3 linked regions of the Saccharomyces cerevisiae S288C genome follow. The protein of the gene in region 3 binds, or shares a complex with, the protein of the main gene of each other region. Each region holds a gene or a part of one and is shown on either strand. Other genes may lie near its edges. The genes, in order: MSN5, PSE1 and PHO4. A codon is read from its position in the direction of its gene.

Region 1 (6,012 bases), on a different chromosome or scaffold from region 3:
TTAACCTTATTTATATCAGAGTTAGATGGCTTTTCGTAATGTATGTTAAAAACATCGTTTAGTTTTAGCCAATTCGGAAGCCTTTCTTTTGGCCTACTATTAAGTTTCTTTTTAAGAGCTGTCTTGGGAACTTTTTTTTTAGCTTTTTCAACAGATAATTGCGTGGCTAGCGTTGTTCTTTTAGTGTTAGCAACAATGTTTTGTATAAAAGCCGCCGGTGTATGCACGTACCTCTTACACAGTTGTTCCATTGCCAATGGTTTCCTATTTCGCTAAAATATTAGGGAATATGTGAAGAAAAAATCTTCAGAAATACCTTGTTCAGACCCACATTAAAACGCTTGATTATATGCATATTTACCGGCTGCCGACTTTCATTAAAAAAATTGCGAATACAGAATTTTTTTTTTCACAATAATTACAATTTTTAGCACGATTCAGATGTCTATTTGCTTTCTCTAATTTCATCTACACATCTACGTATATATGGCACCTTATTATCAGTTGTCATCAAAGAGATTACCCACAGCACCGTCTTCAATGTTCGGATCATCCAGCATGTCTCCGTTTTCTTTATTCTTCTTAATTAATCTCTCATTTGCCTTCTTGAGGATAGCTTCCCTTTTCTCTTGTCTTTTTCTCTCATCGCCTGCATGGTCCACATTACCATCTTCTTTCCCACTGGTGGATTTAACCCAATCTATAAAATCAATCATGAGTGCCCTTTGTGTTTTGTATTCGTCCACGCTCCTTAAATTTCTGTATAACTCATCAATATTATAACCATTAGATATCTCAAAAAGGAACGCTCTAGCAGAGGGATATTCTTTGCACAGAGTCAAAAAAATCACAGTGAAAGCATATAGTGCCTCATGGAAAGAATCCTTAAACGCACTATTACACAGCACATTTAGCAACAGATTTTTCATCACTTCAAATGTGAAATATTCATCCACCGTGTTGTTTTGATTAAGGACTGAGGTTAAGCAGCATTTCATTACTAGGATGGAGTTAAATGAACATTTTGTATCCTTGAAGGAAATTAAATGGTTCAAAAGTTTCAAAAATGGAGCAAGGGTGTTTAAATCATTAAATATAATTTTTCTCATCTCCATTTGATGGTTATTTAGCCTGCTTTTAGCACTGTTTGGATTGGCATTGCCTTGACCAACACAATCAATTACTATTCTAACAACAACTGTGGTTAGTTGTCTCAACAAATTCTCTTCCAAAATTTCTTCAGTCATTTGATCATCGTCAGTTGGAACTGGGTTCATGTCCATATCATTCATATGCGAGGACCATTTCTGACATAGCAGCAGGTCCAGGATTTCAAATAATTTAGGCAAAAATGCGGGCATGAATTTCCCCAGACAATCTTTTGGACAACCTTTTAATATAGGACGAATGGCTATATTCATTATGTGTTTCCATCCATGTGTTGAAACTCCAGGGCTTATCTCATTGCTACCTGGCTTAAATATGGCAATAGAGTTCAGTAGTAGGTCGGGCGATTCGTCCAAAAGGTAAAAAACACTACCAAGTGATGATATGGCACTTAAAACAAGTAGAGTGTATTCCCTTGTATACCTAATGATGTGTCCTACGGAGTCGGCGAAGTCTCGTAAGGTTTGCATCGCTTTCATATGTTCATCAATAAACTCATCCTTTGATTTATTTGAAGCTCCGGCCTCCCAAAATCTTTCAATAGTGGAATACTTGACGAAGGATTGCACAACCGTAGGTAATCCTTTCCAATTATCTGGATCGTGGTAGGATTGCAATTGGTACAGTAGTCTCGTGATGTAAGGTAATATTGGGACAATCCTAGGTCTCCACAGATCTTGTAGCATTTTGAATTCTTCATCTGTCTTTATACTTTGCATTGAATAATGAATGAACATTCTTGTTGCACGAACAGGAAACAAGCTTTGCCAACGTTTGGTCAATTCCGACTTCAGCTCTTTACCCTCATCATCAATTGGAATTGATAAAAGGTCACTATTTTCGTCGATATCACGCCTCTGGAAATATTCTGCGATCTGAACAATACCTAAGCGTTCCATAAACCAATGCAAATCAGAAAGACCAACAACTGTTGTTTTATCAGACCAGGCTAAAAGTTCTGGATCCACAATAGCCGCAAATCTTTCCTCTTTCATATCTAATGAAGACTTCAATACAATGATCAATAAGAAGGATTTGAAGGAAATTTTTTCATGGTAAGATAAGTTGGGCATGATTCTGGCAATGACACTTTCAAGGTCTGGGTATATTTTTTTCAGAGATTCGGGCATTAATAAAGCCATCCTATTCAACTCGATACCACAAGCATATCTCAAATCTCTAACTGCGTCTGATTCAGCGCCTCTCTCTTCCAAATTAATTTCTGGATAGTCCATCGTGGCGCTTGTTATGATTTTTTCTAAAAGTGTGAAAAGCACATTATCTTTTAACATTGTCAAAAAAAGTGCAAAATTTTGGATTTGTTTCTTCAATAACAATGGTTCTCTTAAATTTAATGCAATTAACTGGTTTGACAAAATTTCCAGTTTTTGTAATATGGAATCTAGTTTTTCGTCATAATCATCTCCTGTTGGATACCAGATCTTCCATCTTATACAACCATTGATGAAACATTCAACAATCATGTATTGGGAGAGGGCACCTAAATAAGGCTCTAATTTATGGTCCAAAAATGTGGAACTTAAGACCTGCTGACCAAATGGAGAGCTGAAATAATTGTTTAATCTGTTGTTCAACCAATCATAAGTAAGGTCTAATTCGACGCAAGAAATCAACCTAATGATGTCTCTTATTCTTTTCCTATAAGTGGAACAAAATGTTTGAAATTCGGACTTGGATTGAAAATCAATCTCCGCAAATTTTTTGGAAATATGACCATCAATCTGTTCATAATAGACTAAAGCATCCGCGGCAAACTGTAGTAGATCAGGAATGACATATTTCTCCAGCTTGGGTAAGTATTCATCGTTTCGAAGACAGGTACACCATAGGTCTAATGTTAATCCGCTAACGATTAAGCTTGGGTTATAAGTTGTCTTTAATACAAGCTTAAAATATTTTTGAATTTGGCCATTTGTCTCCTTAATCTTTGGGACACAAACATAGAGACAACTGATCATATCCACGAACTTTTTAATTATAGGATATTTCGTTTCATCTATATCATCTGTAGGATCAAACAACAAGCTTTCATAAACGCTATCTAATAAGTCCATATTATCAAAAACTCGATCTATGGTCATTTGGTAATGGCTTTCATTACTATAGGGACGGGTCAACAGAATATGTATCGAGTCTAATGCCATTGACTGCGCCCTTGGGATATTGCTGGATAAACAAGTCAATAAGGAGGATAACACGTCATTTCTTACAATGACCTCTGTTAATGGCCAGTTTAAACACGTCTTCAGAGTTTCTAAAAGCCTTATGATGTATTCAGAATTATTCTGTTGTAATGCATTATTCAACTCTGGAATCCAAACAGAAAACCAGCCCTCTTCATTAGCTTTAAATTTGGTCCATTTATCACTGAATTTGTATTTTATTGCGAAAACTTCAATAGGGCAAACAATCATTACACATAAGGGTTGAATAACCGTCATCCTTTTCAAAACAATTAGGTCGTCCAACAAGAAAACATCTTCAAAAAGGATTCTGAAAATTATTAATGCTAGTTCTCTTGACGATTGATTTATGTTCCAAAGTTCGAAAAGGTTATTGTCCATGTCCACCCAAGATGTGAGTAACTGTTCTTCCGTAGGGTTTGTCTGCTTAAGAGCCTCACCCCATGTTCTTTTTGCCACCTCTACCCATAAAGTGGCTAATTTTTCCTTAATATATCTGGTATCATAATCTTGCACCCCAAAATTAAGTTCCATGACCCATTTTCTCAGGGCCACTCTTTTCCCCTCGTCATAATCATTCCAGTTTTTCTTCACTGCATGGTCTAGTAATCCTAGTCCAAAGTATTTCAATATAGAATTAGTGGGGTTTTGCAATGCAATTTCGTAGCCCCAAAAGGGCGATTCTGAGCATAATTTCACTTCATCTAAAAATTTCTGAGCTTCTTGCCGTTGAGAATTGTTAGACTTGGGGGAGTAAATAACATCTAGTGCGCTAACAATCTGAGAAGCGCCTGTGGAATCCATTACTTTTCTTCCAATCAACGTTAGAAAAAAAATTTCAGATTCTAAAAATTCAAAAAGTGATTAAAAGGAAGAAAACAAAATATACTATAAATAATTTCAATAGTTTATCACAGTAACAATTGCTACACGAATGTAAAGAGTGAATATGGTTTTTAATGGCTAATGCAATGACACCTTACGTTCTCGCCTTGTTTATTTTTCTGTTTTGCTCTTCTTCCGATCTACAAAACTTGAACGGTTGCAACAAATAGGGGGATCTAATCAGGGTGTACTTAAAAGAACGGCTCTTCTACAGGCTCAACGAATAAAGATAGGCTAAAAACACACACGCTCGTCACTCCAGCACCTCTGTTCAATGGAATCTTGCTCTTAAAACTCTTTGACAAATATTACTACATCAAAAGCTTAGTACTCTTGAAGTCTCTTTGGAAAAACCAACCTTGATCGCGCAGCAATGTGGCAATGCCCCTCCGCTGTGGCGCGCCGCCATCACCCGGTAAATAGAAATTGGTGACCAAGGAACAATGCCATGGTGAGTACATTACCATAAAAACCAAGAGGCGATAGTGTTGTCGGAAATAATAATACAATTTGTTGATTCATTATGGCTATATATCATTAAAATATTCACAATAGGTATATAGTCCGATTTGGACAACTAAGGCAGCGGTGAAGAGTAGAACCTGGTCCTTCAATAATAATAACCGTTGGCAATAAACCTGATCATGTACTCGTCAACATGGGCAGTGCCCTCATACTCATCAAGTTCAGCATGATTTTCTTCCTCTTCATTAGCTGCTTTTTTTTCTGTGCTTTCGTCGAAATCGTCATTGTCAATTTCGACTTCTCTCATGGCTAAGTTTGCAGCTTTAACATCATCCTCATCTTCCGCTTGCGCAAGAAGTCTTTCCAGTTGTCTGGGATCTTTGGCTGCCACATCTGCATCTGCTATTAGTGGTTTATCTCCACCTGAAGCATTTTCGGGCAATTCGGATCCCAATAAATCTCTCACCGAAAGTTTGCTGAAATAATCTGTTGTGAAGTCACCCTCTTGAATAACAACATTATCCAATTGTCTTTTTTGGTTGGCTTTTTTTAAGATATTGCTTTCTATGGTATGTTCGCTGACAAATCTGTAAATATGCACATCTCGAGTCTGTCCAATTCTGTGACATCTATCTTGACACTGTTTGTCCATGGCTGGATTCCAATCTGAATCGTAAAAAATAACTGTATCTGCCCCAGTCAGATTGATACCTAGCCCTCCTGATCTACTTGATAGGATAAATACCGTTATTCTTGAGTCAGTGTTGAATCTCTCTGTTAGGATTTGACGGTCTTCGATCTTTGTGGCACCATCTAGTCTCATATACAAATAACCATGATAGTTTAAAAACTGTTCCAGAACGTCCAAAACTTTTGTCATTTGTGTGAAGATAAGTGCCCTATGTCCATTGTCCTTCAGCTGCTGTAATAAAATTGCTAACTTCTGCAATTTACCACAATCGTATTGAAGCAGCGATTTGTCCGGGAATGCGATTGTTAATTTGGTTTGCAGTTGGTGTAATGGGTTGGATACTTCAAAACAGTTCTGCATTACCTTTAGCCTTGTGTTTTCGCCTACCGAACTGTCATCATTTAATCCCAATGCCAACTTTCTCATATCTAGTGAGACGGCACTTGGGGTTAACACTGCAAAGGTATCTATGATCTTTCTATTATCCAATACCCTGGTTTGCAAGGGTTTTATTAGTTCATTATCAATAATGCTTGATTTATCATATTTAACCCTTCTATCTTTCGTTAATAGGTCAATAAGGTTCTTTCCGAATATGGG
Region 2 (5,429 bases), on a different chromosome or scaffold from region 3:
TCCAAACTGCTAAAGATATGTTACTAACTTCCCAAGTTCAAACAAATATCAACCAATTCGATTCATCCCTACAAATTTTATTCAACAGGGTTGTTGTTCAATTGGGTCTATCCGCCTTTAAATTATGTTTGATTGAAGAATGTCATCAAATTTTGAATGATCTTCTGTCAAGTTCTCACTTAAGAGAAATTTTGGGCCAACAATCCCTACACAGAATATCTCTCAATTCTAGTAACAATGCTTCAGCTGATGAGCGTGCTAGACAATGTTTGCCATATCACCAACACATCAATCTCGATTTAATCGATGTCGTCTTCTTAACATGTTCCTTATTGATCGAAATTCCAAGAATGACTGCCTTCTATTCCGGTATTAAGGTCAAGAGAATTCCTTACTCTCCAAAATCCATTCGTCGTTCCTTAGAACATTACGACAAGTTAAGTTTCCAAGGTCCACCAGAAACTTTAAGAGATTATGTCTTGTTTGCTGCCAAATCAATGCAAAAAGGTAACTGGAGAGACTCTGTTAAATACTTAAGAGAAATAAAATCTTGGGCTTTATTACCAAACATGGAAACGGTGTTGAATAGTTTAACGGAAAGAGTACAAGTTGAATCTTTGAAGACTTATTTCTTTTCTTTCAAGAGGTTCTATTCAAGTTTTTCTGTTGCTAAACTAGCCGAATTATTTGATCTTCCAGAAAATAAGGTGGTTGAAGTTTTGCAATCTGTTATCGCAGAATTGGAAATCCCAGCCAAATTAAACGACGAGAAGACCATCTTTGTTGTCGAAAAGGGTGATGAAATTACTAAATTGGAAGAAGCAATGGTAAAATTGAACAAAGAATATAAAATCGCTAAAGAACGTCTTAACCCACCATCAAATCGTCGTTGATCAATAAAATCAAAAACTACTTCGAAAGCATTCTTAACAAAAAATCATTGTAGATAGAAGAATAACATCAGCAACCAAAAAATATAGAAGGAAACTAAGCAGGAGAGTATAAACCATATTCACTTTTGCTTTTTATTCTTGATATTGCTCATCTTTTTTTTTTTCGATTCTTTTAGCGATCTCTTTATTTTTAGTTTTAGGGTTTGAATCTAATCGTCTTCACTGTACATTACACATAAGCAAATATATATATAGTTTTTTTTGTTACGTAAACACTCTTTATAATATAATACAAACTATTAAACTTTAAGAAAAGTATGATATGCCGCTTTATTTCTTCATCAAATATAATCTCAAAATATATGGATCATGAGTGTTGATAAATAATCCAATAGCCTATCATGGACTATCTGTTTGACATTCTAAAAAAAAAAATAAATTGTACGAACTGCAGTAAATCGGTATTATCATCATGACGCACGATATCAATTCTTTGCAGAAACTGAAAAATTTTTCATTTTCTACCCAGGAAAAAAAGAAAAATGAAATTCACTAAAAAAATGGGAATACTAATACCAGACGGTCCAATAATCACTATAGTATTATAGACAGCTATAACAGTGATCGAAGTTCGGCGCTCTTCAGATACCGAGTGGCTAATAGACTGAGTAGATCAAAGTGGCAGATAGCCCAAACAAAAGTAATTAGCTTGCAAGCCACTTTATCCTAACGACACGTGATTTCAACCGTAACTAGAGCCATCGCTATGTCTGCTTTACCGGAAGAAGTTAATAGAACATTACTTCAGATTGTCCAGGCGTTTGCTTCCCCTGACAATCAAATACGTTCTGTAGCTGAGAAGGCTCTTAGTGAAGAATGGATTACCGAAAACAATATTGAGTATCTTTTAACTTTTTTGGCTGAACAAGCCGCTTTCTCCCAAGATACAACAGTTGCAGCATTATCTGCTGTTCTGTTTAGAAAATTAGCATTAAAAGCTCCCCCTTCTTCGAAGCTTATGATTATGTCCAAAAATATCACACATATTAGGAAAGAAGTTCTTGCACAAATTCGTTCTTCATTGTTAAAAGGGTTTTTGTCGGAAAGAGCTGATTCAATTAGGCACAAACTATCTGATGCTATTGCTGAGTGTGTTCAAGACGACTTACCAGCATGGCCAGAATTACTACAAGCTTTAATAGAGTCTTTAAAAAGCGGTAACCCAAATTTTAGAGAATCCAGTTTTAGAATTTTGACGACTGTACCTTATTTAATTACCGCTGTTGACATCAACAGTATCTTACCAATTTTTCAATCAGGCTTTACTGATGCAAGTGATAATGTCAAAATTGCTGCAGTTACGGCTTTCGTGGGTTATTTTAAGCAACTACCAAAATCTGAGTGGTCCAAGTTAGGTATTTTATTACCAAGTCTTTTGAATAGTTTACCAAGATTTTTAGATGATGGTAAGGACGATGCCCTTGCATCAGTTTTTGAATCGTTAATTGAGTTGGTGGAATTGGCACCAAAACTATTCAAGGATATGTTTGACCAAATAATACAATTCACTGATATGGTTATAAAAAATAAGGATTTAGAACCTCCAGCAAGAACCACAGCACTCGAACTGCTAACCGTTTTCAGCGAGAACGCTCCCCAAATGTGTAAATCGAACCAGAATTACGGGCAAACTTTAGTGATGGTTACTTTAATCATGATGACGGAGGTATCCATAGATGATGATGATGCAGCAGAATGGATAGAATCTGACGATACCGATGATGAAGAGGAAGTTACATATGACCACGCTCGTCAAGCTCTTGATCGTGTTGCTTTAAAGCTGGGTGGTGAATATTTGGCTGCACCATTGTTCCAATATTTACAGCAAATGATCACATCAACCGAATGGAGAGAAAGATTCGCGGCCATGATGGCACTTTCCTCTGCAGCTGAGGGTTGTGCTGATGTTCTGATCGGCGAGATCCCAAAAATCCTGGATATGGTAATTCCCCTCATCAACGATCCTCATCCAAGAGTACAGTATGGATGTTGTAATGTTTTGGGTCAAATATCTACTGATTTTTCACCATTCATTCAAAGAACTGCACACGATAGAATTTTGCCGGCTTTAATATCTAAACTAACGTCAGAATGCACCTCAAGAGTTCAAACGCACGCCGCAGCGGCTCTGGTTAACTTTTCTGAATTCGCTTCGAAGGATATTCTTGAGCCTTACTTGGATAGTCTATTGACAAATTTATTAGTTTTATTACAAAGCAACAAACTTTACGTACAGGAACAGGCCCTAACAACCATTGCATTTATTGCTGAAGCTGCAAAGAATAAATTTATCAAGTATTACGATACTCTAATGCCATTATTATTAAATGTTTTGAAGGTTAACAATAAAGATAATAGTGTTTTGAAAGGTAAATGTATGGAATGTGCAACTCTGATTGGTTTTGCCGTTGGTAAGGAAAAATTTCATGAGCACTCTCAAGAGCTGATTTCTATATTGGTCGCTTTACAAAACTCAGATATCGATGAAGATGATGCGCTCAGATCATACTTAGAACAAAGTTGGAGCAGGATTTGCCGAATTCTGGGTGATGATTTTGTTCCGTTGTTACCGATTGTTATACCACCCCTGCTAATTACTGCCAAAGCAACGCAAGACGTCGGTTTAATTGAAGAAGAAGAAGCAGCAAATTTCCAACAATATCCAGATTGGGATGTTGTTCAAGTTCAGGGAAAACACATTGCTATTCACACATCCGTCCTTGACGATAAAGTATCAGCAATGGAGCTATTACAAAGCTATGCGACACTTTTAAGAGGCCAATTTGCTGTATATGTTAAAGAAGTAATGGAAGAAATAGCTCTACCATCGCTTGACTTTTACCTACATGACGGTGTTCGTGCTGCAGGAGCAACTTTAATTCCTATTCTATTATCTTGTTTACTTGCAGCCACCGGTACTCAAAACGAGGAATTGGTATTGTTGTGGCATAAAGCTTCGTCTAAACTAATCGGAGGCTTAATGTCAGAACCAATGCCAGAAATCACGCAAGTTTATCACAACTCGTTAGTGAATGGTATTAAAGTCATGGGTGACAATTGCTTAAGCGAAGACCAATTAGCGGCATTTACTAAGGGTGTCTCCGCCAACTTAACTGACACTTACGAAAGGATGCAGGATCGCCATGGTGATGGTGATGAATATAATGAAAATATTGATGAAGAGGAAGACTTTACTGACGAAGATCTTCTCGATGAAATCAACAAGTCTATCGCGGCCGTTTTGAAAACCACAAATGGTCATTATCTAAAGAATTTGGAGAATATATGGCCTATGATAAACACATTCCTTTTAGATAATGAACCAATTTTAGTCATTTTTGCATTAGTAGTGATTGGTGACTTGATTCAATATGGTGGCGAACAAACTGCTAGCATGAAGAACGCATTTATTCCAAAGGTTACCGAGTGCTTGATTTCTCCTGACGCTCGTATTCGCCAAGCTGCTTCTTATATAATCGGTGTTTGTGCCCAATACGCTCCATCTACATATGCTGACGTTTGCATACCGACTTTAGATACACTTGTTCAGATTGTCGATTTTCCAGGCTCCAAACTGGAAGAAAATCGTTCTTCAACAGAGAATGCCAGTGCAGCCATCGCCAAAATTCTTTATGCATACAATTCCAACATTCCTAACGTAGACACGTACACGGCTAATTGGTTCAAAACGTTACCAACAATAACTGACAAAGAAGCTGCCTCATTCAACTATCAATTTTTGAGTCAATTGATTGAAAATAATTCGCCAATTGTGTGTGCTCAATCTAATATCTCCGCTGTAGTTGATTCAGTCATACAAGCCTTGAATGAGAGAAGTTTGACCGAAAGGGAAGGCCAAACGGTGATAAGTTCAGTTAAAAAGTTGTTGGGATTTTTGCCTTCTAGTGATGCTATGGCAATTTTCAATAGATATCCAGCTGATATTATGGAGAAAGTACATAAATGGTTTGCATAAAGACGTTTAATAGAAAGAAGAACAATGTTAAGTAGTTCTATAAGGAATATTAAATGAATATTGTCTTTTTTGATGATTTAAAAACATATAATGTAACAATAGTGTTCTTTTTAATTTACCGGTGGTAATAGCGAATAGAATCTTATAAAACTTACATAGAAAAAAAATATATACTATACTTACAACTTTTCATTTTTTTCGTAAAAACTACCCCACAATGAAATAAGATACCATACCTTATCGAGTTATTATGTATGTGTCGAAGCTTTTTAAACCAAAGCAAAACCGACACCAGCGGCAATGGATAAGGAAATGATGGAGGTAAAGACCACTTGTGCTAAGTTAGCTTTAACGTTGGTGGCAGCATTCTTCTTGCTAGAAGATGAAGATGAAGCTGAAGAAGAAGAAGAAGAACTGGAAGAACCAGAAGAGCCGGAGTTAGACTTGGAAGAAGACCCCGAAGCGTTAGAAGAGGCAGTACTGGATTCAGTTCCGGAACC
Region 3 (5,711 bases):
GCATTGTCTTGCCCTTCCTGCACTTGCTCCGCTGGCTCTACTGGCGCTGGCGCTGGCGCTGGCTCTGCCAATGCTGCTGGAGGTGGGTCGCGCGCATTGGTTAAGTTGTCCTTGACCAATTGTTTAATTTCTTGAATCTTAGAGACGTAAGCGGGCTTCACTATTATCGATTTGCCCCTCAAAGTAGCTGTCTTGGCCACACTGTCACAAATGTCCCCAATTGGGGTTTCAGATTGCAAAGTGACCAAAGCGGCAGTAATTTGGTGTGGAGCAAAAGGAATACACTTTCTCCTGTACACCTTGGACCTGTAAATCCAGATTTCTTGAGGCGAGTAGAGCTGGAACAACTCACGGATCTCACTGTCGGTTATATCGTCTGGCAGGTCGTGACAGTAAACCGTATCCGCGGCAGTCTCTGGTGTCTTCTTAACCTTATTTTTTTCTTTGGGCTTCTTTACATCCGTGTCTGGAGTAGAGTCTGCCTCGTAAGGAACGTGTAACTTTAGAAATAGTTTCTGATTTTGGAAAACGGTTCCGTTCAAGTCTTGAATGGCCTTCAAAGCCAGAGTATTGTTTGCGAACTGGGCAAATGCTATGCCTAGTGGTTTGCGAGGGTTGCTATTGTGCCTTTTGCTGAATCTGCGGACGGTCTGCGTTGGAATCAACACTGAACTGGCGCCATAGTTGTTTAGGAAGGCATGTAGGTCTCGCTCACTCGCCGTGAATGGCAGGTTCGAAATGTAAACTGTGGTAATGGTAGTGGTAGTGTCACTGGTAGTGTCATTGTTAACTTGTTCTGTCATTGCGGGCTTGTTTGTATGCTTATGTGAGGCCTTATACTTCTCTATGTGTTGCTACTCAGTAGAAGGTCAACACCATTGTTTTATACATCATTTATCTTTTGTTATTAATTTGTGACGCTTCCATTTTGTGGCACATAAGGAGGAAAAAGAAAATTAAAAGAAAAAAAAAAAGAAATAAAAAAAGAAAACGGTACTGGATATTGAGATAAATTTTCCTTCAATTAAGATAATAAAACATGTTATATAAAATCAGACAAAATAATATGTAAATTTTTAACGTATTATAATCTTAAAAAGTTTATTTCTTGGCAGCAGCCAAAGCCTTAGCAGTGCCGTGTAGGGCATGCTTGTGGTTTCTTCTAAACTTTGGATCAACACCTTTCAAAGAAGGGTACTTGTAGGTCTTTGGCTTCTTGATACCGTTTCTGTGAGCCTTTCTGGTTTGGTTGTGAGCGGTATGGTTCTTAGACTTAGCCATTTTCTGGAGAAGACGATGAATGTACGCAGAAATTGCGAATGGTCATTAAAGGTTAGTAAAAATGATTCATAACGGTGGAGGGGAGTAGCGTGGCAGCTAACTGCCAATCTGAAGTGGTGCTAGCGGGGGCAACTTCGAACAAGGGTATGCTAAAGGTAATTGAACGTTCGAGAAAGAGCGTTCGCTATAAGTTCAAACACTGGTAACTTTCCATTATTTTCCCTTCTCTCTTTTTTTCTTTATATCCTCCACTATATGCCACTCAGCGCACCTCAGATTTGGCTACCTGCATTTCCAATGGGCGAAATGGGGACTTCATGATAATATAACGTACTTTCTAACTGTATTGTTGTTCCGGGGTTCTTGAATATTGAATGAAAAATGTTATAAAATAATGGGTTGAATCTTGAAATATGCAGTATTGAAATATTCTGAAATTGTATGTATCCAGAGATTATGGCAAAGCCTAAAGGGAAAATGGTAGACTTCCTACATTGAGAATATCGCTGGTTTTCCCGAGCGCGGCTAGCGACCATTTTTCTTTGTCCTTACAGAACTAAAAAAAAAAAACCAAAAAAAAGTCGAAAACAAGAATACATGCGCTGTATGGGTCTAAGAGTATGTACGGATGTAAAAGAAAACAGTACTAGACAGAGCGCATAAAAAAAGCCTAATCCCTTTTCCGTCTGTATACTTGTGCTCCCTTATAAAAAAAATTAAAAATTAAAAAATAAAAATAAGAATAGTGTATAAAATTATTTTTGCTTTGATTTTAGTTTATTTATTTACTTTCTAAATACAGTAGGTTAAATAAGGATCGGTTTCTTGAAGAAATTGTAACAAGACTCAGAATAAATATGAATATAGGGAATATGACGGATAAACAGACTACTTTAATTTGTCAAATAATCTAGGTGCCGTGGCAGTGTCCAAATAGTGCTGTAGATGGAAAAACTCCTCCACACAGTCCTCCTTGTGTTCAAGATCCGCGTAGCCGGGTTGTTGTTGCTGTATCTTGACTCTCTCAGCACACTCCTCGTAGTGGTGCACAAGGGCCTTACCCTCCTCCGTGTTCTTGAAATGTTCTCTCAAATCTTCCAACTGATCAGTGACTTCTTCCTCTTCTTCCTCATCTTCGTCGTCATCATCATCATCATCTTCGTCTTCGTCTTCATCCTCATCTTCATCCCCATTTTCTTCTTCTTTTTCTTCTCCTTCTGCTGCCTTTTCTTCATGCTGCTCGTTATCGTCATCTTCGGCCGCGGCCACAACAGGCACAACGGTTATCTTTAGTTGTTCCCAGTACTCACCAACTAGTTCCAACATGCCCATTTTCTATTTCTTTTTCTTTATCCGTGTGTGTAGGTGTAAGTGTATATGTGTGCTTCTGTTAATGTGAGTGCGTGTATACAATATGTGCAAATAAGCGCCAACCAATACTGCCCTTAAGACTGAGTAGGTCCTAATCTCGAAAACCCGGTGTGGGCCACTTTCCAGCAAAGCGCCTCTTATAACAAGCACCGCGCAGGGGAGGCGCGCCCCAGTCCGATATGCCCGGAACGTGCTTCCCATTGGTGCACGGTCACGTGCTCACGTTCTGCTGTAGGTGACGGATGTACCGGCAGGCCGCCTCCACGGTGGTCGCTTTGGACGGCGCGGCCGACACATTTTGCTGTTTCCACTCCGCGGGGATTAAAGACGCCAGTTCGTGCAGCGCGACCGCTAATCGATTACGCCGTGCTTGCTCTGCATGCTTGTGTGATTCGCGCTTGTCATCGTCCACGAGCGCGCCCGATGACCGTCGCTTACTCAGCGACCGCGAATGGCTCGATCCGTGCGGCGCGATTACAGGAGACTCACTTGCTACGACCACGCCTTCTGCGCTGCTGCTGGTCTTGGCCGTGACCGGTGATACGCGTCTTGTGCTGTTCGACGGCAGAATAACTTTCGGATATTGCTTTGGTTTCGGTTTCGGTTTCGGAGTTGGGATAACGCTGTCGGGCAATTCGAACAGCGAAGTGGCCGAATCCGGCCCGGGTTTACCTCTGCGCTTGTTCAAATACGGACTACTATTACTCTTGTTTTTAGTGACTTTGTTAGCGGATGTGGTGGAAGTAGCAGTAGCGACCAAGTTCGGCGAAATGGTTACGGGAACCGCACTTTGCGTGTGTATTAGCGGCGAATATAATAGCCGCGGCTTGATTGTAGCAGTTGTAGCTGGGGAGTGGTGCGCATGCGAGGGCATCATCCAGTCCATATCCATACCTTCCACCAGCTCAAAGGCGCGGTCTAGGTCGTCCAACGCGAGACTGTCTTGTTCATTTTCATTCTCGTTCCCATTCTCACTGCTGTTGTGGTTCTCTTGACTGTTCAGCTCGTCGTTTTGCTCGTTGAAGTCCTCGCGCCCATCATGCCGTTTCGTGTTTACGGTGATAAAGTCTCCGACTTTATCAAGAATGCTGCTCTTGGGCTCTAGATCGTCCACAAAACCGTGTATTCCCTCAGAAGTTGTACGGCCCATGACTTTCTGCTACTCTTGTTCTGTCTCCTTTGCTCATCTCTTCTCTTCTGGTCCTTCCGAAGCATGACTTCTTCCCTGGTTATATACATTTTTCTATGGTCAAGACTCATTTGCCAAATATTTCCGTGCGAGCGGCCGGGTCAGCCTTTCGCCTACCACATATTAGGCGAGGCAAAAAAAAAAAAAAATAGAAAACGAGAAAATCGCACTTGCAGCATAGGAAATACTTGCACACAGACATACACATACACACCGTACGCAAAGAAGGCAAGGCAGCAAGAAAAACTGTGGGAACGTAGAAATGAACGTACCTACGGCGCCAACTCCCAACAAACATTTGAACATACCTGATTTGAGGTTCGAGAAAGTGTTCAAGAAAGCTTTACACAGGGAATTGGCACCCTCATCGTCTCTCTCACGGAAGGCGGGTGTGATTACGAAAGTTGTGGTTCGCGATGTCCTGCTCATGCCCTTATTGCAGAGCTTTGTTTTGTCACTCGCGCTCATGGGTGTGAAGGAATGGTTGTCTTACATACGCTTGAAAGGACGAACCCTAGGTGACCGCATTAGACAGAGACTTTTTCCGATCTAAATAATGCATATAACCGTATCTTTTTTATATGAACCTAGTTTTGCTGTATAAGAGCCGAGAAAAAAATATAGGAAAATATAGGAAAATATGCAAAATAGAAACACGAATTTTTTTTTTGTTAGAGAAAAAAAGAGATAAGCCCTGTAGGGGGCTCGAACCCCTAACCTTATGATTAAGAGTCATACGCGCTACCGATTGCGCCAACAAGGCATTTTAATCTCTGGCTACTCGGCACTAAAAGATGCACCACATCCGATGTTTAGGCCGCACCATAATTTTTTCTTTTTCCTGTCTCTTTGTCCTTTCACATTGCACAAAAGTAGAGGAATAATGGATGGATCTAGGATGTACGTATATATGATATTAGCGGTCTGAAGAGAAAAAAAAAACAGCAACAATAACATCGCACTTGATGATCAGAAGGGCCCCTACCACCTTGCAGCTCAGTCACGACGACGTAACCTCTCTGATCGATGACCTGAACGAGCAGAAACTCAAGCAGCAGCTGAATATCGAGAAGACAAAATACTTCCAAGGAAAAAATGGCGGATCGCTGCACTCCAATACAGACTTTCAGGACACATCGCAGAATATCGAAGACAACAATAACGATAACGATAACGATATCGATGAAGATGACGACATGTCATCTTACAACGACAAAGCAGCCTCGGTAGCGCACACCAGAGTCCTCAATTCCTTGCATCTGTCCACCGACAGCAATACCGCCCACGAGACGTCCAATGCAAACGACAACCACAACCCCTTCTACATCCGCGAGGAATAATAGCATATCCGCATACGCACACGCACACGCACACGCGCACGCATCCACATTCACTTTCACTTATAAAATTTCTTCTCTCTAGTTTTATATACGTTGTATTAGAAATATAAAATATGACAATAGTACACTTTGTAGGCTCTCTTTTTTTTTTTTTTTTTTTTTCTTATATATTTTTTTACAATGACCACGGTTTGTACACCTGGGGCTGCAATTTTGCAATGGAGTCGCCTTCGCCTACTTCCTCGCCTTCCTTGCCTACACGTTTCACGCCATGTCCTGTGGCCGTATTGCCGTCTTCGTCATCGCCCTCCTGGTCCTTCTCCACTAGTTGTATGCCCGAGTCTACTTGCTCCGAGATCAGTACCAGTTTCTTCGACACATTCAACTCCTCCAGCGACTTGTTCAGGTCAAGAATCTGTTTACTCAGTGATAATCGGTCGTTCAGCATCTTTTCAGATTCCTTCACATATTTCAGTTTTTCCATCTCCAGTTGCGTTTCTAGATCGCACAGCTTTGTAAACTTGCTCTCT

The links.
Region 1: the proteins of PHO4 (region 3) and MSN5 are in contact, whole or in part, in a cryo-EM structure (PDB 9D45), measured with the Saccharomyces cerevisiae proteins. Residues at the interface, in NP_116692.1 of Saccharomyces cerevisiae: Leu112 (codon at 3,469), Tyr113 (codon at 3,466), Ser114 (codon at 3,463), Pro115 (codon at 3,460), Leu116 (codon at 3,457), Ile117 (codon at 3,454), His118 (codon at 3,451), Thr119 (codon at 3,448), Gln120 (codon at 3,445), Ala122 (codon at 3,439), Val123 (codon at 3,436), Pro124 (codon at 3,433), Val125 (codon at 3,430), Thr126 (codon at 3,427), Ile127 (codon at 3,424), Ser128 (codon at 3,421), Leu131 (codon at 3,412), Val132 (codon at 3,409), Ala133 (codon at 3,406), Thr134 (codon at 3,403); in NP_010622.1 of Saccharomyces cerevisiae: Arg393 (codon at 2,999), Asp395 (codon at 2,993), Arg458 (codon at 2,804), Leu459 (codon at 2,801), Asn516 (codon at 2,630), Ile519 (codon at 2,621), Arg520 (codon at 2,618), Ile523 (codon at 2,609), Trp524 (codon at 2,606), Pro526 (codon at 2,600), Ala568 (codon at 2,474), Leu569 (codon at 2,471), Thr572 (codon at 2,462), Ile618 (codon at 2,324), Arg622 (codon at 2,312), Leu625 (codon at 2,303), Leu626 (codon at 2,300), His652 (codon at 2,222), Lys667 (codon at 2,177), Arg754 (codon at 1,916), Arg757 (codon at 1,907), Met758 (codon at 1,904), His761 (codon at 1,895), Tyr762 (codon at 1,892), Gln765 (codon at 1,883), His859 (codon at 1,601), Tyr863 (codon at 1,589), Glu866 (codon at 1,580), Tyr867 (codon at 1,577), Leu870 (codon at 1,568).
Region 2: the proteins of PHO4 (region 3) and PSE1 are in contact, whole or in part, in a crystal structure (PDB 3W3X), measured with the Saccharomyces cerevisiae proteins. Residues at the interface, in NP_116692.1 of Saccharomyces cerevisiae: Ala141 (codon at 3,382), Asn142 (codon at 3,379), Lys143 (codon at 3,376), Val144 (codon at 3,373), Thr145 (codon at 3,370), Lys146 (codon at 3,367), Asn147 (codon at 3,364), Lys148 (codon at 3,361), Ser149 (codon at 3,358), Asn150 (codon at 3,355); in NP_014039.1 of Saccharomyces cerevisiae: Glu287 (codon at 2,518), Asp336 (codon at 2,665), Asp338 (codon at 2,671), Asp346 (codon at 2,695), Gln350 (codon at 2,707), Asp353 (codon at 2,716), Arg354 (codon at 2,719), Leu357 (codon at 2,728), Ser392 (codon at 2,833), Ser393 (codon at 2,836), Glu396 (codon at 2,845), Asn430 (codon at 2,947), Gly433 (codon at 2,956), Gln434 (codon at 2,959), Asp438 (codon at 2,971), His470 (codon at 3,067), Ala473 (codon at 3,076), Ala474 (codon at 3,079), Val476 (codon at 3,085), Asn477 (codon at 3,088), Glu480 (codon at 3,097), Gln512 (codon at 3,193), Thr515 (codon at 3,202), Lys556 (codon at 3,325).

Annotation. Positions count from the first base shown.
Region 1 is NC_001136.10:1,139,331-1,145,342, reverse strand, and holds MSN5 (karyopherin MSN5), read right to left. Parts: upstream 4,176-6,012; coding exon 501-4,175; downstream 1-500. Other genes in the region: translation initiation/elongation factor MRX8, read right to left, coding at 1-251; chromatin-remodeling protein SWR1, read right to left, coding at 4,867-6,012.
Region 2 is NC_001145.3:888,452-893,880, reverse strand, and holds PSE1 (importin PSE1), read left to right. Parts: upstream 1-1,659; coding exon 1,660-4,929; downstream 4,930-5,429. Other genes in the region: NIP1 (translation initiation factor eIF3 core subunit c), read left to right, coding at 1-893; 1,3-beta-glucanosyltransferase GAS1, read right to left, coding at 5,199-5,429. UniProt on the Saccharomyces cerevisiae protein: Functions in nuclear protein import as nuclear transport receptor. Serves as receptor for classical and arginine/glycine-rich nuclear localization signals (cNLS and rg-NLS) in cargo substrates.
Region 3 is NC_001138.5:222,157-227,867, forward strand, and holds PHO4 (phosphate-sensing transcription factor PHO4), read right to left. Parts: upstream 3,803-5,711; coding exon 2,864-3,802; downstream 1-2,863. Other genes in the region: RRT5 (Rrt5p), read right to left, coding at 1-803; 60S ribosomal protein eL29 RPL29, read right to left, coding at 1,102-1,281; MIN10 (Min10p), read right to left, coding at 1,554-1,817; QCR6 (ubiquinol--cytochrome-c reductase subunit 6), read right to left, coding at 2,170-2,613; YFR035C (uncharacterized protein), read right to left, coding at 3,965-4,309; YFR035W-A (uncharacterized protein), read left to right, coding at 4,104-4,394; anaphase promoting complex subunit CDC26, read left to right, coding at 4,807-5,181; RSC8 (Rsc8p), read right to left, coding at 5,357-5,711. UniProt on the Saccharomyces cerevisiae protein: Transcriptional activator that regulates the expression of repressible phosphatase under phosphate starvation conditions. Binds to the upstream activating sequence (UAS) of several phosphatase encoding PHO genes.